3 linked regions of the Arabidopsis thaliana genome follow. The protein of the gene in region 1 binds, or shares a complex with, the protein of each later gene. Each region holds a gene or a part of one and is shown in the gene's direction. Other genes may lie near its edges.

Region 1 (7,268 bases):
ACATTAAATTATACTATAGGCAATGTGACTTTATAACATATATCTCTCTCCACATAGGTCTATATGATAATTTAATTGGATGGTTATCCAAAGCACCCAAATAATTCTGGGAACTGCGATGTGTGATCTGATTGGCTTATTGCTCTTTATTAATATGAGATTTATAAGTATATGATAAAATTAGGTGTATGGGTCCCATGATCAGGCTAAAACAGCATCTGGTGTTTTTTACCACATTTCAAGACTCTTGTATGGTCCTTCTTTGTCCTCCCAACCAACCAAATTGCATGAAGTGTCCTCCATTTCAAAATTGAAAAAACTGGCATGTCAGGGCACATTTGGAAATATATACATGTGTATATATTGTGTCTCTATTTATGGAAGTGTAAAGCAATGACCCATAAGGTCTTCTCATTGTCCTATGGTCGGATCTATGTACTTATGTAGCTCCGGTTCTAGGGATGTGCTCTCATTCTATAGCTAAAGTCATCTTGGTGTGGTTTTGGGTGTGTTAATCATTTAGGTTCGGTTAGAACATTTCACGGAATAAACCTATCATTTGCATTTGATATCTATGAAAAACATTTCACGGAATAAACCTATCATACGTATCTTTCATTACCTTTACATAATACATCACACAAAAGCATAAGTATTCTTTCACCTTGTCATTTTTTTTTGGGATAAATTCTATCGGTAAAAACATACTGAAATACGCTAGAGTGGATTCTTTTCACTTGTCATAAAACCCAATAAAAATCATATTTATTATTTTATTATTATTTAAGTTCGTTTCTTAACATAATACATTACCACTATCTAATACCTCATATAAAATTAGATTTAAAATCCTATAAACACACACTAAATTCTGAAAGAAATAATGTTAGGTTGTTTAATTTCTTTTTTTTGTTTGTCAAATCAGATATATTGATATAAAACAAGGTTACAAAATATATAAACATTATAATACAATTATTATACGCAAATACAAAAATTTGATACAATTTTGATAAAGGAGTGAAAGTAACCCGACATTACAAGCAAATAGGCGTTGGTCATGATACATAAATATTTTTTAATTATAAGAAAATTACTATTATTTTAAAATCACAAATTTTAAACTGTATATTTTCTTAATTAGGCACTGATGAACAATTCGTGATACAATGTGGAAACATGTCTCAAATCGAAACCCTTATTTGATATGTTATTAAGATACCTGCTGGGGAGGTGCCTCATCCCAAAATAAACTAAATTAATTAACATTCATTTAGGTAGAAAAATTACTATAATGACATACTTAATCATATAATTATACTTTTCCTTCATACCACCAATAAAAGCAGATCGCTATCTAGCTCTTAGACAAGATAATAGCATAGCTTTTAATTTTGATAAAGCTGAATGGTCCTTGTAGATAAAGTTAAGAGAAGAATATGTTTTTTTTTTTACAAAGGCTTGTTTTCATTCATTCACATAAAAACAAGTACAAGAAGGAGTGATTCAAAGATCACAAAGTTTAAAACATAATTAAAGGAGGTATTCCCCAAAGCCAAAACATAATAGAGGCATTTCTCTAAGACACGAAAGGAAATGCATAGCATTCAAACCGACTCATATTAAATCATCTCTCATAAATGAAAAACTACTTCCACTTGAGACACTAAAGGACTCACCAATCAACATATTAAGAAAGTTACTGTTTCGTGGCTTGAAAATATGTAGAAAAGCTTCCAGGACGATGTCTCATTCATTAATTTTCTGATGATTCCAAATTCGTTTTCCGAACCACAACTTATGATTGCAAAAACCTAATGATTCGGCTTGAGTTGAGTCATGATGAGAATTTCTCCTGCTTAATTAAAATTCTGTTTTTAGGTATAAGAGATTCTATTCAGCAAAGATATTCAAGATGAGTAACAGATATTAAACATACCATGAACATTCACAAACCTGTGGGAATTAATATATGAACTTACCTAGCAAAAGCGAACATGTAATTTCTCATTTACATTTTCCCGTACTATGTAAAATTGAAACACATTTTCAAGTTTAAGGAAGATTATAATTTTGGAGTCGATGTAGTATCCCGAGAGCATACGAAACATATGTTGTATTTTCAAATTTGCGCCTCTCGATATTGAACTACAATAATGCATGTTAGATTCAAAGCAGCCTCGCTTTGGACCCTATAAAATGAGTTAATGCAAGCCATAATAATTTATCGATCGACATATTTACTAAACAAGCCAGAATGTGATCTCGATCTCAGCCTGTGTTAATCTTTTTGTAATTGAACATTCTGGACTAATGAACTCTTCACTATTGAAAAAAACAACAACACATAGATCATTTACACAAAGTCTCCCTTTACTAAATTTCAAGATTTGGTCCATTTATTCCAATGAGAAATATTCCAGATATTTTTTTTGGCTGTTGACTGTACGGATAGGCCCTTAATGGGCTTTTAATGGATTAAATTAGGCCCATGATACTTGAAAAATCTGAAAGGTGTTGTTGTGTTGTGTGTGACAGTCCAGTCGCGTCATCCGGAGACATCCATTTTCTCTGGTAGCTGTTTACTTCTTCTTCTTCTTCTTCTTCTTCTTCCTCCTCCTCTGTTCGTCAATCGCCGATCTCGTTGCTTCATTTTCCTGTGAGTATTTTCTCGATTCGACACATCTCATATCCGAATCTGCCATTTCTTCATTCAATTTTGTTTATTTGTTGGAACTTCGGATCTATATAGAGAATCGAGTTTTCTAGGGCTTACTCATTGTTTCGGGTATATGTAATGGCTGAGAATCTTCTCTGTTTGTATCAGTGAGATCGATTGGTACAAGTGTTCATCCAATGGTTGGAGGAGGAGTTATCCGGCAGCTTCTTAGAAGGAAACTTCATTCCCAATCAGTCGTGAGCTTTTTCCCTGTTACATCTTTTTGATTTTCTGCTGTAGCTTAGGATCTGTTTGAAGATAGAATCATATGATTTGTTTTGGTTCTGTCTACACCTTCATTGCTCTGAGAGATTGTCCTTGAAGAATTGTAACTGGAATTGTTGTGGCGTTGGAGATTTTGGGATATAAGAAACTTAGACTTATTGATTTGTGCTTCGAGAGTATGATTAATATTCGATTTCTTTTCAGAAAAAGTAGTCTTTTGATTTGTTGAGCATACACCTTCTTGTGTCTTGGCCTTTTTTTTTGTTTTCTTACTGTTGTTCTGTATTATCTACCACCATAGGCAACTCCGGTATTGTCATGGTTGTCTTCGAAGAAAGCGAATGAAGATGCTGGGTCTGCTGGTTTAAGAGCATTTGCTCTCATGGGTGCTGGTATTACCGGATTATTGAGTTTTTCTACTGTTGCATCTGCTGATGAGGCTGAACATGGTCTGGAGTGTCCTAACTACCCTTGGCCACATGAGGGCATTCTCAGCTCATATGACCATGCTTCGTGAGTGTTCAAGCTACAATTCAATCATCATAGTGAAATTGCAACACTAAAGTTGAAAATTAGAGAAATTTGAGACTGCTTTACTGACGGTTGATTTGTAATGAGCAGGATCCGTCGTGGTCACCAAGTTTATCAGCAAGTTTGTGCGTCTTGCCATTCGATGTCTCTGATCTCATACCGAGACTTGGTGGGTGTTGCCTACACAGAGGAAGAGGCGAAGGCCATGGCAGCTGAAATCGAGGTTGTTGATGGACCAAATGATGAGGGTGAGATGTTCACCCGACCTGGTAAACTCAGTGATCGGCTTCCTGAACCATACTCAAATGAATCGGCTGCTAGGTTCGCCAATGGAGGAGCGTATCCACCGGATCTAAGTCTTGTAACTAAGGTTTGGTGCTCTTTCTCTCCATTTGTATACAATTAGAAAATTCATCTACTATGATCTAAGCAATTTGGCTATTTTCTTCCAGGCACGTCACAATGGCCAAAATTATGTCTTTGCTCTGTTGACTGGTTATCGTGATCCTCCTGCTGGAATTTCGGTAAATTTCTCTCCTATTTTTGCTTTAGACTTGTTATTACAACTTCAAATTGTTGGAAGTTAGAAATAATCCTGTGACTAACGGGTACAGATCAGAGAGGGGCTACACTACAATCCTTATTTCCCTGGTGGAGCAATCGCTATGCCAAAAATGCTCAACGATGAAGCTGTGGAATATGAAGATGGAACTCCTGCAACAGAAGCACAGGTTAGTTTTCCTCTGCTTAAGAAAATAATTTGCAGACCATAAAGTTTTATCAGATTTGACCTTTCCTCTGAGTCAATTATATAATCTTTAATTTTTCTTTTTTTAAAAAACATGATGCAGATGGGTAAAGATGTTGTATCCTTCTTGTCCTGGGCAGCTGAACCAGAGATGGAAGAGAGGAAATTGGTAAGTTTCTTAGTTTCATATATTCCATGTTTTAAGCTGTCGTTTCCATATGTACGAGATTGCAATAGGAATATCAATCTGGATTCTGATTATTTGATTTTCAGATTCAGTTTGAGAAAATTGTTACCAAACTTAAACCGGCATAGTATAGATTGGTTTTGGATGTAGAAAAAGTATCGCCATTTTATCCGTGTTAAGATTTCCTTGGTTCTGTCTTCTGTATAGCGGGATGAACACACCTAGTTGCATAGTTGTGTTGAACACACCTAGTTGCATAGTTGTGTTGACCACACTACTGCTTGTTTCTTGAGGCTGCTAATCTCAGACCAAAACTATTATCAAACATGAACCGTATTGTTACTCTGTATTCAAAACCGTCATGTTGGTTCTAAACCGACCCAAAAAAACCCGCTATACCGAGAATCCAACTCTTTGTGCTTAGATATCTGTTAACGTTGGTTGTATGTGTGTGCAGATGGGGTTCAAATGGATATTCTTACTGTCTTTGGCTCTGCTTCAAGCTGCGTATTACAGGAGACTGAAATGGTCAGTACTCAAATCCCGTAAGCTTGTTCTCGACGTTGTTAACTAATCCCGTGAAGATCACCTTTTCTCTGGGTAATAATCATTAATCTTGAAAGGGATAAATGGTGAATCCCACTTTTTGTCTCAAAAGACATGTTTCTTTGTTTATTGTTTAGAAAGTCTAATGAGGCAAAGAAGTAAAGCTTTTTTAACCTCAAGTCACACATGATTTTGAGATTATATTATTTCTTTTTGGTTTGTTGTCTCCTAAACCGGACTCGGTTTGTCTTAATAAAAATGTGGTTTTACAATCTCTCTCCTATTTGTATATCACAAAACATGATTTTGTAACTATTAAAGTTAAAAAGTTAAAATCTGTGGTCTATTTCTGATAGACCAAAACTCCACAGAACAACCAATTTACCTCTGTTGCGAACTCGATTTTGTAAAACTTAGAAAAATGTAGGCAGGATTTAGACCCGTTAATGTAAAACCAGTTCCGTTAAGACATTACCAAACAAAATTGCACAATCCTACAGACAATGAAACAAACATGCAGGATCGGACAAAACCTCAAAATACAAGTCCACACTTTTAATTGTCCCTTGGAATCAATATTTATAAAAATGTAATGAGCTCAAATTTTTATAACCTATGAAAAGATCAAAATCTTGATTAAAAAGAAGAAAAAAACCAATCAAATCCTGGCAGGCTTCTGCAGAACAGCCGAGAGAAAAACCTCAGCATCAGTTTTCTCTCCAACAACCCATTTCAACTTCTTATACCCAAACCTCTCTATCAAACGCGTAAGAACTCTCTTCTTCTCATCATTACCGCAATAGAAATTGTCTAACTAGAACAATCCACCGGGTTTCAAGATCCGATCAAGATCAAACATCAAGAACTCTAGCTTCTCGGGTTTACTACTAACCGCTAAATCCAATCCGTTAGAAGCATGAATGAGATCAAAAACATTGTCATAGAACGGGAATCTCTAATCCAAACTCCCTCTGAACAACGGAAAAATCCCTCTTGTAGCTATGAATTCGCTGAAAGGAGCATCTATATTTAATGTAATACCGATAATATTCAGATTCTTTTCAGCCATTCTAGCAGCAAACGTGCCTGATCCGCTGCTAATATCGAATCCGATTCGGATTTTCCCATCGCCTAAACCCAAACATCATCTATCAGGAAATCAGTCTTCACTTTAACCTTAACAAACCTATCTTTCTCATGACCAGAGCTAGATCAAAGCAACCAACAAAATCCCGGCTCAGTTAAGACCTTTCAAGCATTCAAAACTTTTGCAGCCAAGACCGCTCCAGTTAACACTATTGTTACTGACCGTTCTCCACAAAGAATCATGAAACAGTGCGAGACCTGGCTTATGTACTGTTTTAGCTTCAACTTCTACAGGAAGTTTGTGCACAAGGAGCCTATGATACAAGTAACATCTGCATGTCAAAAAGATTTGTAGCCACCCATGTTTTCATAGGATAGTGTTATCTGCATGTCAACTTACTGTATTAACATAAATGGCATTATGAAAACTGGTGTAGTGTGAACTTAACAACAGCTGGTGTTCAGAGATTTTCATCAGAACCAGGGCATCCACCAGATGTACATCTTCCCAAGATTCTCAAGTGAGACTGCATCGGCAATCAACCGGCGAGCCTGACCTTCTACCGGTAGCGGAACACCAACAACCACGCCCTGCAGCCGGGCTTCAATGCTGCTTATGGCCCGCTGTAATTGCCAAATCATGTGGTTGTCTCAAGCAATTAGAAAAAAAAGAAAGGGTAAATGAACTGACATGAAAGAGAATCATTAAATGATTATGCAAACCTGAGCATGTGGGTTCTGAACTTCTACTCCGCTTGATTTGTGTGACTTTGTCCACTCCACAAGAGGATCATGGATGAATGTCTCCAGGATGCTCATCAACGTCTCCCTATGTGTCCTCAACACTGTGAGAGTGATTTCACATACCCTCATGAAGATGCCCTCATATCCAGTGATGCCCAAACCATCAATCATGTTCTGTGGTTTGGAAAATAACAATTCACTATTATGACAAACGAAAACAAAATACCAACAGAACACAAACAAACGATTTTGCAGTTTCTTGCCTGGGTCAATCTGAATGGCACCAACTCAGGCTTCTCCAGTTGTAAGCCTTTGTCAAATAAGCAACTGAAGTCTACATGAACACAATCACCCGAAGTAGAATCAAAGAGAATATTTTCTCCATGACGGTCACCAAGCCCAACAATGTGCCCAACCATGGACCAAACTGCTGTGGTGTGAGCATAAGCTACACGTGACCTAAACCAAGCAGCTGGTTCAGA
Region 2 (7,607 bases), on another chromosome or scaffold:
GAAAGGACTTCGCCTTGACCTTCTGACCTAGACGTCGAACCAGTGCCTTGGATTCATCAACAAAGGGATCAAAGGAACTCATCTGTCCCTCCAAACGGAAATCTTGGTTTTGTAATTTGATCTCTGACAAAGGGAGAGGGAAAGAAAGACCAATCCGTATCTTTGAAAGAAAAAGATTCTCAGAAACGCTACCACCGAACATCGACTTACTCGGCATCTTCGGATTCAAGCATTTCATTCGTTCGTTGGCGCAAAAGCCTCGTTTGGCGGGAAAGCATTCATTCGTTTGCGGGAAAGCAAAAGCGTTCAGCATTGACTTCCTAAAGCGACTTCTTAGCGTGCTTCAACAGCGCCCAGATAATGCCTTGACCGGAGCCGGAGGGAGACCTAAACAGAAGAACGACCTCGCAGTGGCAACATAGCCCATCCTCAACTCATACCTCAGATTTTGAACCATACTTTGAGTCCTCAAACTTTGAGATGGACTGGACCAACACTCTTCTTTGAGATGGAATTCCCACCACTCTTATTTGACATGAACTGTAACGCTACTCTTTCAAAGATACCTAACAACCTTAGCTGGCATTGATCACTCTTCCTTCCCAATCCCTCCATTTAGAATTGCAAACATCCCAACTTCCAGAGCTACCTATGAGCCAAGGGCGGAGGGAGATATATTAGACTGATCAACTTCAAACAAAACGACCTTCCTGGACTCGCTTTCATCTCCTTCTTTGAAACGACTCAAATAATTGAGTGGGCATTGGGAGCCTTATTTAATGGTGGATTCCTGAGCTATGAATGTCTCTGAAATCGTGATGTCAAAAAGGAATGATATGCGATTATTAACTTGCTTCCTTCCCTCTAATTTTCATGCAGTAGTTGAATTTTTGCACTCTTACCTGGATGCGATTTTCCGCCTTGAATAGATGGAGGTGTTTTCCACCTTGAATTGAGAATTTTTGCATGCTCGATGGGATTTCTGCCTTGAATTATGATACATTTATTATGAATTTTTGCATGCTCGATCTGATTTCCTTCGCTGTATGGGAGTGCATAGGCCTATTCTAGCATGGGGTTTCTCGGGGTAAGGCTTGTGCTTTTCCTTCCATATAAGACTAGCTATGTGCTCCCTCGGTACGCCTGTATTCCTTTCGTGGATTGGAACCTACGTACTGTTGTATTGTAGCGTGATGTTTTCCCACTGCTTTCTGGCTTGACTCACATAAAGTACGTGCGTAACTGGCACTATCATGTAGGTGCGAAATCTGTCTTCTCCTATGTCTTGTTCTCCCAGTTTGATTCCTATGTTTCGAAGTCCAGCTAATTAGTGAAGGAAAGTGGTATGGATGTTTGGAGCTCAATCCATCGAATTCACTCGCTTCTTTGCGCTGCGTTGTAGCTCTTAGATTATTGGGAGGAGGTCATTTCGAATGTTTTGTAATTTGGAATCGTTTTTTCTTCAAGGCACGGCTTCTTGAATCGTCTTTGTCTTGTAGAATGGTTGTCATCTGGAATCTAACTAAATAGTTAGTTAAGAAGACGCGTGCTTTGTTTGGTTTTGATCTGGAATTTCACTATAAGATAAGATAAGAGTGAAGTGCTTTGTTTGGGCAATCTGCCTCCCTAAATCTAGTGGAGGTCCCGGTCCCGCCGCTCCTGTTTGTAATGGGGCCGCTTTGTGCCAAATGTGTAAGTTGTTTTTTCAATCCGTTCTAACTGTAATAAGAGAAGAGGGAAGTCCGTCTAAAGAAATTAGTGAAGGAAAGTTATATGGATGTTCATTAGTTCAGTAAAGTGTTAGTAATGTTGCTGGGAGTAACCCTTTGATCTGATCTGTCTTTGTACGTGTTATCTTGCGAGGCTGTCAGGTTGGCTTGTGAGGATGGGGAGAAAGCGGGCCGAGAATCTTATGTCAAAAGGACCAAGGATGATCTTTTCGGAAAGGAGGAGTAGGAGGAGTCAGCTTATTCTATAGATACTGTAAAAGCCAACTCATGTTTCCACTCAATTTTCATTACGAAGATGTATCACGTCAAGATCCGTTGCTCAAACCGAATCACGCCAACGTTATGGAAGTTCCTGGATCGTGTGAAATAAGAGTAGTACCAAAGGCACCCTATAATTTCATAATAAAAAATGGAAAATTGGCTATGGAGATTCCGCGCGGTCAGAAATTCATACAGACACAAAGGGGTTCGACAGGAAAGTCCTTTCGATCTAATCCATTCTTGGGGTCAAATAAAGACAAAGGATATGTAAGTGACCTAGCACGACAAAGCACTCTCCGAGGGCATGGAATGTCTAATTTTTCGGTCAGAATCTCGACAGTAATGTCTCTATTAGATTTTCCGGTCGAAATACGGAAAAACTCCATTCAATTCTCGATGGAAACGGAGTTTTGCGAATTCTCCCCGGAACTGGAAGATCATTTCGAGATCTTCGAACATATTCGGGGGTTCAATGTGACTATTATCACTTCGGCCAACACACAAGATGAGACTTTACCACTGTGGAGCGGTTTTTTGCAAAAAGATGAGGGGGAAACTCAGTAAGATGTCGTAGAAGCAAAATAGTAGAGATCACAAACGTAGATTGCTCGCGGCTAAATTTGAATTGAGACGAAAGCTTTATAAAGCCTTTTGTAAAGATCCCGATCTTCCTAGTGATATGCGGGACAAACATTGTTATAAGTTGTCCAAGTTGCCAAGAAATAGTTCCTTTGCACGAGTCAGAAACCGATGTATTTCCACGGTCGCCCTCGTTCTGTATCTGAGTTCTTTCGAATTTCTCGTATCGTTTTTCGTGGATTAGCATCTCGAGGTTCTTTGATGGGCATAAATAAATCGTCTTGGTAGCAACCACCAAACCAATAGAACAAAGAAAGGTTAGCTCCGCAGCTGGTCCACAAGCAAGGTAAGTAAGCCCATTACCAGCCGGCTCCGGACCGAAAAGTAACGTATTTAAAACCCTTATCTTGGATCGGAGATGCGAACGGGGCGGGAATCGAAGTGGGGGACCTCTCTACCGCTTGTGTCTATTTCCTGTCAAGTATGCTCCCCATACATAGACTACGTACAGGTAGTACTCTTGGAAAGAAAGATATAATGCATGAACATAACATTAACTTACGAATGTAACTCCCGACCACTCTTCTAAATATACTAAGGCGGAGAACTCTTGTTCATTGGAGCGCCGTAGTGCGGAGGTTCTTCCCATCATGGAAGTCCGAGTTGGGACTGAGCCTTCCGAATGATAATGCTTTGTTTCGTTGGAAAAACCAACGCAAATCTCATATTGACTTTCTATCGCCCTACTTCTAAGGATAGATAGAGAGAGTTACTTTATGAAATTATCTCCCTTCTAAAGCAGCGCAAGTCGGCCCCCCCAGAACAAAGCCCCTACTCCCGAGAGGTATAAATGACTCGACTAAAAGGAGAGGTATTTATTACTCGAGCACTTGTTGCGAGAGGTCCAACGTAATTTATTACTCTTATAAAAGAGGGAACTCGACTGAAAGGAGAGGTTGTTTACATACTCGACTAAAAGGAGAGGTCCAAATGGACTTCTGTGAATTACAGTGATCCAGTCTCACGGATATGGAGCTTCGCCGGAGATGGCAGGGCAAAACCTGATGGACCTTTTTTTTTTTTTTCTCAAGAGGTGATTTCGAGAATCAACCAACCGACGAGACTAATTCGAGGATGTGTTAAAAGAGAGTCTAACCGCCAAGGCAAGTCCCATGGATAAGCCCCAGCCTCCCTCTCGTTTCACTCTCGTTCCTCTCCTTACAGTCGAGCTCCTTTGTTCCTTCGGACCTCTCGCCCAAATGAAATGGGATGAATCCAATCAATAAGCTTATTGATTGATTCAGAGCGCAGCGAAGCCAAATTCAATCAAGGCAAAGGGGGGCTTACTTTTCCTGACGCTGAGTCATCCTATTCAAATTTAGCTATGCTAATGTAACAGGAAAAGTTTTCACAGATGATATGGATCCCAAGAGATGAGCGAGAACCTCCAATTGCTTAAGGATCGCACTCCGCTATCCCGCTTGGTGGACGAGATCTTCTCTCGGGTCATCCATCCTGGGTTACTGAAGGGTTGTCCGACTGCTCGGTGACCGAATCAGAGAAGTTTTGACCGCTTTCTCTTCTCTCCAGCACTCTCGGACTGATCATCCAATCCATCTTGCTGCGACAAAGCAAGCTTAGGAATGAATCTAAGAAATTTAGGTCTCTGCCCGCTTGAAAGATTCTTCTTTCCTTTTCGGTGAAAGAGGGCAAAAGTGTGTAGGAGAAAGAATTCTAAAAACGTCGACGCTTAATTCGCCCCCTCCATCCTTCAAAAGTAAAAGAAAGGCTCAAATATCAATATTATATATATATTTGAGGATATTTTAGGGCCCTAGAACGCAAAAAAAAGGTGGGTGAACAAGAGTTGTCACGATAGGAAAGAGAAATGACTATAAGGAACCAACGATTCTCTCTTCTTAAACAACCTATATCCTCCACACTTAATCAGCATTTAGTAGATTATCCAACCCCGAGCAATCTTAGTTATTGGTGGGGGTTCGGTCCGTTAGCTGGTATTTGTTTAGTCATTCAGATAGTGACTGGCGTTTTTTTAGCTATGCATTACACACCTCATGTGGATTTAGCTTTCAACAGCGTAGAACACATTATGAGAGATGTTGAAGGGGGCTGGTTGCTCCGTTATATGCATGCTAATGGGGCAAGTATGTTTCTTATTGTGGTTTACCTTCATATTTTTCGTGGTCTATATCATGCGAGTTATAGCAGTCCTAGGGAATTTGTTTGGTGTCTTGGAGTTGTAATCTTCCTATTAATGATTGTGACAGCTTTTATAGGATATGTACTACCTTGGGGTCAGATGAGCTTTTGGGGAGCTACAGTAATTACAAGCTTAGCTAGCGCCATACCTGTAGTAGGAGATACCATAGTGACTTGGCTTTGGGGTGGTTTCTCCGTGGACAATGCCACCTTAAATCGTTTTTTTAGTCTTCATCATTTACTCCCCTTTATTTTAGTAGGCGCCAGTCTTCTTCATCTGGCCGCATTGCATCAATATGGATCAAATAATCCATTGGGTGTACATTCTGAGATGGATAAAATAGCTTTTTACCCTTATTTTTATGTCAAGGATCTAGTTGGTTGGGTAGCTTTTGCTATCTTTTTTTCTATTTGGATTTTTTATGCTCCTAATGTTTTGGGACATCCCGACAATTATATACCTGCTAATCCGATGTCCACCCCGCCTCATATTGTGCCGGAATGGTATTTCCTACCGATCCATGCCATTCTTCGTAGTATACCTGACAAAGCGGGAGGTGTAGCCGCAATAGCACCAGTTTTTATATGTCTCTTGGCTTTACCTTTTTTTAAAAGTATGTATGTGCGTAGTTCAAGTTTTCGACCGATTCACCAAGGAATGTTTTGGTTGCTTTTGGCGGATTGCTTACTACTAGGTTGGATCGGATGTCAACCTGTGGAGGCACCATTTGTTACTATTGGACAAATTTCTCCTTTGGTTTTCTTCTTGTTCTTTGCCATAACGCCCATTCTGGGACGAGTTGGAAGAGGAATTCCTAATTCTTACACGGATGAGACTGATCACACCTGATCAGTGAAAAATTCTGACACCAATCATTTACATATTACACCAAGAATTGACAAGCAGATAAGTTTTCTAGTTTGCTATGTTGATATAGCTTAGATAGGGAAAAGATAACTCCACTATAGAGTAGGGCTGTACTTCAAAAATCAAAAAGGGTCCCTCTCCCCCTTTTTTTATTAAAAAATCAAAAAAGAGGCCCCGCCCCCCAAGGCCTAAGGAAAAAACCTCTGATAAAGAAAGAAAAAATATAGAACTAACCTTTACACTATAACCATTAAGTCAAGTTATTAACAATCCTATACTAAGAGGAGAATTCGGATCAGCTCGGGCGGAAGAGGAGAGGCGAAGAAGAAGACAATAAGCACTCAGATTGGACCAACCTTTCATTTAAGGTTCGTCATTATCTTTTCAATCCTGACTAGAATCAGGCTTCTCTTGAAAAAAGGTAAGGAGTTATTCGATATAATATGGTATTAACCCTAGCGCCTAAGTCACCCCCGCAAGGTAGGAAGAAGATAAAGGAGAAAGTGAACGGAGGAAAAAAAGGCGATAAGCGAACCGGCGGGCGGTAAAAACCACAAAGAATTTATATAGAAAAATAGGTACTACCAATATGAAATTAAGAAAGACATATATACCTGAAACAAAATTCTGTAATGACTATGTGACCATGAAGGGAGTAGTTGATTCGCGTTCCAATTCATTGGCAAAATCCGGTATAAATATAATAATATAACGAGATCGTCGTCTTGACAAAGATGAATAGAAAGAGTGCTTTTTTTTTAATGGTAACAATTCTTATTGTTTTTTTTTCTTCGAAGGAAGATCTTTCTTTGACTAAAAAGGTTTCCATTTTTAATAGATTGTTTGTGGTTGTACCTTTACTGCAAGAATATAAATGACTCGCTATTCACTCGAGGTTTCTGGGTCATAATGTAGGAGAGATGGCCGAGTGGTTTAAGGCGTAGCATTGGAACTGCTATGTAGGCTTTTGTTTACCGAGGGTTCGAATCCCTCTCTTTCCGTACCTTTACCTAATTCACCAACGTTACCGACCGCGCAATACCAATCGAGACCTCTAAGACGAACTAAAGGGATGTCTCTAAGCAGCCAAGGCCAAGAGCAAGCAGGAGTGGTCCTATCCGCCCATTCATTTTTAAGTGACTTATAAGACGTGAGAGATACTCTAAAGTCATAACGGGGAAGGCCAGAGACTTCGTTCAAATGGGGGGAGGTTTTCTCTTCAATAAAATGAAAGGCAGGTATTTTTATACGAAAATTGAGAATTCAATAATAAATGTTCACTTGAGATTAGGTTCGCGAAGAAGAAGATCACAAATGAGATCTTGAGCTTGAAGCTTACTCTCCAGAATCGAAAGATCTCTTATCCCCGAGGCGAGGATGGCTTCATAAACTTTTTTTGCCGAAGGAAAGATAGATAAGGGGTTTCATCCATATTTTTCTCCCATTTACGTATCACGTTCAGAGATTTTAATTAGTTGTCCGCTCTTTCCGTACCTTTACTTACCGACCAAATACCAAGACTACTTACAACAGGTGGTGAGGATCAGCACACTGCGGGAATCTAAGGAATTGATTGCTGTGCATCGACCAATCTCAGAAAGGGAACTATAAAAGAAGGTGAAGATGCACCGAGGCATTTATGAAGACGCATGGTATGCTGTGGAGAAAGGGGTGAAAGGAGTAGAAGCGGCAGGGCAAGAAAAGGATAGTGATAAATGGACAGACGCTGAGAAGAAGAAGTCGAAAGTATAACAGCAAAGCACTGTCAGCAATCGCAAGTGACACATTCAAGGGTGAATCATCCAAAGATGCTTGGGATATCCTACAGAAGGGTTGACAAGTGTAAAGAGATCTCGTATTGATATGCTGCTGGCTTCACGGAGGAAAGAGAGACCATTGAACAATTCATCTGTGCTTTGCCAATGCTGCTCAAAATGAAAGACAAAGAC
Region 3 (6,788 bases), about 12 Mb from region 1:
TCGTAGAGTTCCAACAAAAGGTGTTGGACATGTCAATCAGGACAAGGGCACAACAGATGGAGAGGCTCCTCCGTGAACCTGTTGACTTCAACAACCTCTGAAAATCTTGAGAGAAATTTCCCCCAAGAAAACATGCTTGTGATGAATGCCACCAATTGACAAATAAATATGGACCCTCCTGGGAAACAATATAATAGCTGGCCACTTCTCTCCCTTTGAATTTTGTCATTTGCTTTTTACATATTGTTGTTTGCTTCGAAATAAAGCTTTTCGAGACATCAAATTTCAATGAGATTGTTTTTGTTTAGATTTGAATCGTTGGGCTAATTTGGTAAATAAATCTACAAACTATGCCCAAGTAGCTTATTCATACTCACGAATGAACATTAAGATGCCACGAAGCTACATAATTATCATGTTAGAACACCGTCATTGTTCTCTTCAGTATTAATAGTAAAAAAACCAAATTGACGATTTCTCGAAGACTATTAAAGGAATATCCGCAAAGAAGAAAAAAAAACATTTTTTTGGTAAAGGACTAATCTTTTTGTTTGCATCGGCCATCTCTAACCTTACGATTGTGTGTTCTTGCTTTGAGCGAAACCCTAGAATCGGTCTTAACCCATTTGAGCAGAGATGCTGCGAGTAGCAGGAAGGAGGCTTTTTTCTGTTTCGCAGAGATCATCGACGGCGACCTCCTTCGTCCTTTCCCGTGACCATACCCTTTCCGATGGAGGCAACTCCTCTTCCGCTTCTAGATCTGTCCCCTCTGCAGATCTCTCATCTTTCAATTCTTACCACCGGAGCGTTATAAGAGGTCTGCCGATCTACAACTCTTTCTGTCTCTCGATTGATTTTCATTTCTGGTGTTATCCATTGAATGATTCATAAATTTTTAAAAGTCACCTCTTTTGGGCTTGTATAAGTCCGGAAATGATTGAGATTCCTAGTTTCGTATCTGCGAGATGATCTATGGGAATTAAGTCATCTGTTTTGAATTCTTATGATGTGTATTAGAGCTTGATGTACCATTTCGTCTCATTCTTCTCCTTGCTGGAATAGTGATTGATCGGATATGAATTGACCAGCTTTGAGATAATCCTTTTTTGATGAGATAATCGATTTTGACATGTAGTTTATTCATTATTATGGAAATGGATGTTTTATCGTCTTTGGGCACATCATATAAGATACTTGCATCAGTAAACGAATCTGGAATTCCATATCTTTAACCAAAAGGGCTATGTTTGCAATCTTATCTTAGGAGTTTTCTTATGTTTTAAGCATTTATGATCATTGAAGTTCCTTCCTTGGATCTTGCGTTAGATAGATTAGTTTAGTTTTCACTGAATTTGATATCATGGTAGAAAATTGTTTGGATGACACCTTCTGTTATCTCTTGGAATCCGTTTTTATAATCTTATGTTATTCTATGCATTAATGTTAAATGTTTGCTAGTGTTATTCCTTTCTTCTGTGTTATCTCTTGAAAATATTTTTGCTTAATACTTGGTGTTGTTGAACACTTGACCAAGTATAAAGTTTGCCCTTGATGTGAAATATTAATGTTTCATGCTATTTTCAGGTTTTGCTTCTCAAGTCATTACTCAGGGAAATGAGATAGGTTTTGGTTCGGAAGTCCCAGCCACAGTCGAAGCTGTCAAAACACCTAACTCAAAGATTGTCTATGACGACCATAACCATGAGCGTTACCCACCTGGTGACCCTAGCAAGCGGGCATTCGCCTATTTTGTCTTGTCGGGTGGAAGGTTTGTTTATGCCTCTGTTCTCCGCCTGCTTGTTCTGAAGCTTATTGTGAGCATGTCTGCAAGTAAAGATGTCCTTGCCCTTGCATCCCTCGAGGTTGACCTAGGGAGCATAGAACCAGGAACTACCGTGACAGTCAAGTGGCGTGGAAAGCCCGTCTTCATCAGGCGAAGAACAGAAGATGACATCAAGCTGGCCAATAGTGTGGATGTTGGATCCCTGAGGGACCCACAAGAAGACTCGGTTAGAGTCAAGAATCCAGAATGGTTGATCGTGGTTGGAGTATGCACTCATTTGGGGTGCATCCCCTTGCCTAATGCTGGTGATTATGGTGGTTGGTTTTGTCCGTGTCACGGATCACATTACGATATATCTGGAAGAATTAGGAAAGGTCCTGCACCATACAACCTGGAAGTACCGACCTACAGCTTCTTGGAAGAGAATAAATTACTCATTGGTTAATGAATAAAGCACAACAGTCCGAGTGTCATGGTCTGGATGATCTTAAATCTGTTTTTGTTTTTATATTTTCCGGCATTTTAGCGTGCAAGTTCGCTTTCCTCACACTTTGGGCTCAGCAAAAATTGGCTTGTTTTGCTGAATAATACAAACTTGTCATTGTATGACTTAGTATCTGTCTCATCTGGTGAAAATACATTGTTCATACTTCATAGTCTCTGTTTATTATTTGAAAAGAGTTTTGAATAGTATCATCCCTATTTTTCTTATGTTTGTAATTTTGTAACATATCGTTTGTAAGAGAGTTTCCTTTCCTTAAAGTCTGTAGCCATTATCACAATTGAGACAAAAACTTGGTAAGGTTCAAGGTGTGTTATAAAACTTTCGTGTTCTTACTGGAGACGACATTTCGAAGACCTTCAATTCTCAACTAAGCCATAAACCTTCTCTTCCATAGTGAGAAATCCAATTGTGAACCTCGAGACTACTACTTTGATGAAAGATGTCATATTCTGGTTGTGGATCTTAGCCTAATTTTCTTGTTCAGATTGTTTTCATCGATGACTACTTCTTTGATGATGTCCTTCTAGCTCTTTCTTCTAGTATTGAAAAGTTCACACAGATGTAAAACAGTCTTTTTGTTGGAAATCTTGTTTAAACATTACAACAACAAAATATATCCTTTACCAAGTATAGACCCCCTATTATTATTATTAAAAATTACGATTTTTATACAAATAAAATAATTTATCTTACAAATACACACACACAAAAAAATTATATCGTAAAACCAAAAGATTTTATTAATTAAAATTAGAAAAAAAACCATGCCATCAAAATCCTGAAGTAAAAAAATATCAAGTAATACGCAAAAACCAAAAAAAACAAAACAAATTGACCTTTTCTCAAAGACAATTTTTAAGGGACTTACTAGTAAGTAGTCTCTTATGTTTTGTTTTGCATCGGCCGTCCCAAACCTGAGGATTTCTCTGTTCAGCTAGAGCGAAACCCTAGATTCACATTTGAGCTGAGAGATGCTGCGTGTAGCAGGGAGGAGGCTTTTCTCTGTCTCGCAGAGATCTTCGACTGCGACCTCCTTCGTCGTCTCCCGTGACCATACCCTTTCCGATGGTGGCGGCGACTCCTCTTCAGCTCCCAGATCCCTCCCCTCTGCAGATCTCTCATCTTACCACCGTAGCCTTATCAGAGGTTTGCCGATTTATAACCCTTTCCCTCTCTCTCTACATTGATTTTTCATTTTCGGTGGTTCTTTGCAGTTTTATTTGATTGATTGATTTTTGAAAAGGTCTTCTTTTTTTGGTTGTATGATTCACGGGAATGATTGAGATTTCTAGTATTGTATCTGCAATGATCCGTGGGAACAAACGTGTCATCTGATTTGAATTCCATGAGCTTGATGTACCATTTGGCTACATTCTTCTCCTTGCTGGATTTGTATTGCATTTGATGATTACTTCTTTCGTGTGGATTGTTCAGTTCTGAGATAATCCTTTGTTTTACTAGGAAAGTTTCCTCTTTTCGGTGCGTTAATCATAGTATGATTCACCACTGGCTTCTTGGTTTTTGAAATTTGATCTTGTGTATCAATCCTTTTGAGTTCTTCATTGTTAGGGACATGGATGTTTTAACTGTATACTATGTTTGTAGGATTTATAGCTGTTTAAAGGCATGCTGAGGAACTTGCATTCTGAAATTTATGTTTTCTTAACCAAAGAGCTTTGTTTGTTCTTAGCATTGGAAATTTTGTTGTGTTTTAAGCGTTTCTGTAATATACAGCATCTGATCAATATATTTTTTTCTCTTGGTTTATTACGTTGGTTTTAGTATTTAAGGTTTCACTGAATTTGTTATTATTGATTTGTTTGGATGAATTTGGTATACTTGGCTTCTCTGATTCATTCTTTCGTCCAGAAGGAAATGAACATTTGAGTTTATTGATGGATTATGGATTGACCTGTTTAGATGTAATTCTTTGGTTGATGACTAAAGCTCCTTGCTTGTAAATCATTGGAATGCGTTATCCATAGTGTGATTCACATTGGCTTCTAGATTCCAATTTTTTGTTCTTCTGTTTCCATGTTGATCATTGAATTTGTTCTCTTGTTTTTTTTATGGAGATTATCGTATTTAAGTTTCCACTCCCCGAGTTTGATACGATGGTTTGAATTGTTTGGATGGATCTCATACTTCATGGAATCCGTTTTATGTACTTTTGTTTTTCCTTAGAAGATTATACATCAATGGTCACATCTTGATTGTGGTAGTCCTGTGGCTTATTCTTATTCTTGTAGAACACTTGACCAAGTATAAAGTTTGCCTTTGATGTGAAATATTAATGTTTCATGCTATTTTCAGGCTTCTCTTCTCAAGTCCTTGCTCAAGGAAATGAGATAGGTTTTGGTTCAGAAGTCCCAGCCACAGTCGAAGCTGTCAAAACGCCTAACTCAAAGATTGTCTATGATGACCATAACCATGAGCGTTACCCACCTGGTGACCCTAGCAAGCGTGCATTCGCCTATTTTGTCTTGTCGGGTGGGAGGTTTGTTTATGCCTCTGTCCTCCGCCTGCTTGTTTTGAAGCTTATTGTGAGCATGTCTGCAAGTAAAGATGTCCTTGCCCTTGCATCCCTTGAGGTTGACCTAGGGAGCATAGAACCAGGAACTACCGTGACAGTCAAGTGGCGTGGAAAGCCCGTCTTCATCAGGCGAAGAACAGAAGATGACATCAAGCTGGCCAATAGTGTGGATGTTGGATCCCTGAGGGACCCACAAGAAGACTCGGTTAGGGTCAAGAATCCAGAATGGTTAGTGGTTGTTGGAGTGTGCACTCATTTGGGGTGCATCCCCTTGCCTAATGCTGGTGATTATGGTGGTTGGTTTTGTCCGTGTCACGGATCACATTACGATATATCTGGAAGAATTAGGAAAGGTCCTGCACCATACAACCTGGAAGTACCAACCTACAGCTTCCTGGAAGAGAATAAGTTACTCATCGGTTGATTAATAAAAGCACAACAGTCAAGAGTCTGGATCTGAATGATGATCTTCACTTGTTCTTTTTTTCTTTTAATTAATATTTTCCGGCATGTTAGAGCAAGATTGACTTGTTTTTGCTGAATAATACAAACTTGTGATTTTTGTTTGAAGTATACTCAATCTTCGTTTATCCATCGCTAGTAAAAGACGACTATGTTCATAGTCTGTGTTTATTATTTAACATGCCTATTTGTCCTATGTATGAGTGAGATTCCTTTCGTATCTCATAATTCTAAACATCGTCATTCCAATTAAAAAGTTGTATTTACATTTGAGTTTCGATAGTATCTCAACGTTCATAAAAGAAAAACTAAAGGTATGAGAAAAACCAACGTAGAAACAAACAACAAAAGGTAATATATCAGCTTTGATTGATAGTTTACAGGAAGATAACCGAATAAGTTCAAACTGTATTCGTAAGACATCCCGTGAATGAATATTCAATCATCCAAAAGTGGCATAGCTAGATTTTTTCTAGATTGGCTAAGAACACAAAAACATAATATTTTATTCTGTTTAATCTTTTTTAGTTAAGAAAAAATGTTTGACACACAAAAGCCAAAGTTTGATTTGGGTAAAAACCATTGTGGGAGATGAAAATGTTAAAATCTTGTTTGTTTTGGTCACCAACAACGGCCATGAACTATATGGGAAGTGACTTATCTCTTGTAAGTTGTTTTCCTTTTGGGATATGGGAAGTGACTTCTCCGACCCTTGCAAACTAACAACGGCCATTACACACTAATTACAAGCCAAAGGTCCTCACTAAGCAACCTCTCGTGTTTATCATAAGACACCGCTCTATCTCTTATTATTTTATTCATTGTTTTCTAATTTCAGACTGATTAATCATACATTAGAGAAAGTTTATTAAAACCATCTGATGTAAAAAATCACATTTATCTAAATTAAATAAATTTGTTATCTAGTATATAACTATTTATTGTTTTAACATTTGGATAAATTGTAAGAAATTAGAATGTAAAATAAGACAGAAAATGGTCAACTATGAGCATCTATCGCCATCATGATATAGTTTCGTCGTTTGCGTTCCCGACCTAACTCAAAACTTCACCAACCCCATTTTTAAGCCCCTTTCTTTGTTTTTATCCTCCGATCGATCAAACCAAGAAAAAACACTTTCGTATTTCCCTCGACGAAAAAAATGGCAACCATTTCGAATCTCGCTAATCTTCCCCGCGCCACCTGCGTCGACTCCAAATCTTCTTCCTCTTCCTCCGTCTTACCTAGATCCTTCGTCAATTTCCGCGCTTTGAATGCAAAGCTTTCCTCTTCTCAGCTTTCTCTTCGTTATAACCAACGATCAATACCTTCCCTCTCGTAAGTCTTTATATCCATTTGATGCATGTCTTTTGTCTCTGTTTCTCGCTCTTGGGGTTCACCAAAAATTGAATCTTTTTAGCTGGAAACGTACCACGAATCTCAAAGTAACATTTTTTATAAGATGGATTAGGAAAAGCAACTGTATTTCCCCTTTTTGGTTGGT

What was found. Proteins that work in one complex are often made in the same cells at the same time.
Region 2: the proteins of AT5G40810 (region 1) and AT2G07727 are in contact, whole or in part, in a cryo-EM structure (PDB 8BEL), measured with the Arabidopsis thaliana proteins. Residues at the interface, in NP_198897.1 of Arabidopsis thaliana: Ile83 (codon at 3,432), Leu111 (codon at 3,624), Ile112 (codon at 3,627), Arg115 (codon at 3,636), Ser180 (codon at 3,831), Leu181 (codon at 3,834), Lys184 (codon at 3,843), Ala185 (codon at 3,928), Arg186 (codon at 3,931), His187 (codon at 3,934), Ala259 (codon at 4,360), Ala260 (codon at 4,363), Pro262 (codon at 4,369), Glu263 (codon at 4,372), Glu266 (codon at 4,381), Arg267 (codon at 4,384), Lys268 (codon at 4,387), Met270 (codon at 4,868), Gly271 (codon at 4,871), Phe272 (codon at 4,874), Ile275 (codon at 4,883), Leu278 (codon at 4,892), Ser279 (codon at 4,895), Ala281 (codon at 4,901), Leu282 (codon at 4,904), Ala285 (codon at 4,913), Ala286 (codon at 4,916), Tyr288 (codon at 4,922), Arg289 (codon at 4,925), Lys292 (codon at 4,934); in NP_178804.1 of Arabidopsis thaliana: Ser30 (codon at 4,546), Tyr34 (codon at 4,558), Phe68 (codon at 4,660), Asn69 (codon at 4,663), Glu72 (codon at 4,672), Met75 (codon at 4,681), Arg76 (codon at 4,684), Asp77 (codon at 4,687), Trp82 (codon at 4,702), Leu83 (codon at 4,705), Tyr86 (codon at 4,714), Asp223 (codon at 5,125), Ile225 (codon at 5,131), Pro229 (codon at 5,143), Tyr230 (codon at 5,146), Phe231 (codon at 5,149), Val233 (codon at 5,155), Lys234 (codon at 5,158), Leu236 (codon at 5,164), Val237 (codon at 5,167), Val240 (codon at 5,176), Ala241 (codon at 5,179), Ala243 (codon at 5,185), Ile244 (codon at 5,188), Ser247 (codon at 5,197), Ile248 (codon at 5,200), Ile250 (codon at 5,206), Phe251 (codon at 5,209), Tyr252 (codon at 5,212), Pro254 (codon at 5,218).
Region 3: the proteins of AT5G40810 (region 1) and AT5G13430 are in contact, whole or in part, in a cryo-EM structure (PDB 8BEL), measured with the Arabidopsis thaliana proteins. Residues at the interface, in NP_198897.1 of Arabidopsis thaliana: Arg115 (codon at 3,636), Lys152 (codon at 3,747), Ser154 (codon at 3,753), Met270 (codon at 4,868), Trp274 (codon at 4,880), Leu277 (codon at 4,889), Leu278 (codon at 4,892), Ala281 (codon at 4,901), Gln284 (codon at 4,910), Ala285 (codon at 4,913), Tyr287 (codon at 4,919), Tyr288 (codon at 4,922), Arg290 (codon at 4,928), Leu291 (codon at 4,931), Ser294 (codon at 4,940), Lys297 (codon at 4,949), Ser298 (codon at 4,952), Arg299 (codon at 4,955); in NP_568288.1 of Arabidopsis thaliana: Tyr93 (codon at 4,703), Asp94 (codon at 4,706), Asn97 (codon at 4,715), His98 (codon at 4,718), Phe111 (codon at 4,757), Ala112 (codon at 4,760), Val115 (codon at 4,769), Leu116 (codon at 4,772), Gly119 (codon at 4,781), Arg120 (codon at 4,784), Val122 (codon at 4,790), Tyr123 (codon at 4,793), Ser125 (codon at 4,799), Val126 (codon at 4,802), Leu129 (codon at 4,811), Lys133 (codon at 4,823), Lys142 (codon at 4,850), Asp143 (codon at 4,853), Ala146 (codon at 4,862), Leu147 (codon at 4,865), Leu150 (codon at 4,874).

What each region holds. Positions count from the first base shown.
Region 1 is NC_003076.8:16,337,344-16,344,611, forward strand, and holds AT5G40810 (Cytochrome C1 family), read left to right. Parts: upstream 1-2,519; 5' UTR 2,520-2,659; intron 2,660-2,827; 5' UTR 2,828-2,856; coding exon 2,857-2,916; exon of another isoform or gene 2,917-3,245; coding exon 3,246-3,457; intron 3,458-3,565; coding exon 3,566-3,845; intron 3,846-3,927; coding exon 3,928-3,999; intron 4,000-4,089; coding exon 4,090-4,206; intron 4,207-4,326; coding exon 4,327-4,392; intron 4,393-4,867; coding exon 4,868-4,984; 3' UTR 4,985-5,584; downstream 5,585-7,268. Other genes in the region: ATR (Ataxia telangiectasia-mutated and RAD3-like protein), read right to left, coding at 6,517-6,666, 6,766-6,960, 7,050-7,268. UniProt on the Arabidopsis thaliana protein: Component of the ubiquinol-cytochrome c oxidoreductase, a multisubunit transmembrane complex that is part of the mitochondrial electron transport chain which drives oxidative phosphorylation.
Region 2 is NC_003071.7:3,446,405-3,454,011, forward strand, and holds AT2G07727 (cytochrome b), read left to right. Parts: upstream 1-3,129; 5' UTR 3,130-4,458; coding exon 4,459-5,640; 3' UTR 5,641-6,372; downstream 6,373-7,607. Other genes in the region: AT2G07724 (uncharacterized protein), read right to left, coding at 1-313; AT2G07725 (Ribosomal L5P family protein), read left to right, coding at 1,998-2,555; AT2G07728 (uncharacterized protein), read left to right, coding at 7,282-7,404. UniProt on the Arabidopsis thaliana protein: Component of the ubiquinol-cytochrome c oxidoreductase, a multisubunit transmembrane complex that is part of the mitochondrial electron transport chain which drives oxidative phosphorylation.
Region 3 is NC_003076.8:4,303,871-4,310,658, reverse strand, and holds AT5G13430 (Ubiquinol-cytochrome C reductase iron-sulfur subunit), read left to right. Parts: upstream 1-3,088; 5' UTR 3,089-3,259; coding exon 3,260-3,434; intron 3,435-4,601; coding exon 4,602-5,245; 3' UTR 5,246-5,553; downstream 5,554-6,788. Other genes in the region: ATP5 (delta subunit of Mt ATP synthase), read left to right, coding at 1-101; AT5G13440 (Ubiquinol-cytochrome C reductase iron-sulfur subunit), read left to right, coding at 637-817, 1,585-2,228; TRA2 (Aldolase-type TIM barrel family protein), read left to right, coding at 6,447-6,622. UniProt on the Arabidopsis thaliana protein: Component of the ubiquinol-cytochrome c oxidoreductase, a multisubunit transmembrane complex that is part of the mitochondrial electron transport chain which drives oxidative phosphorylation.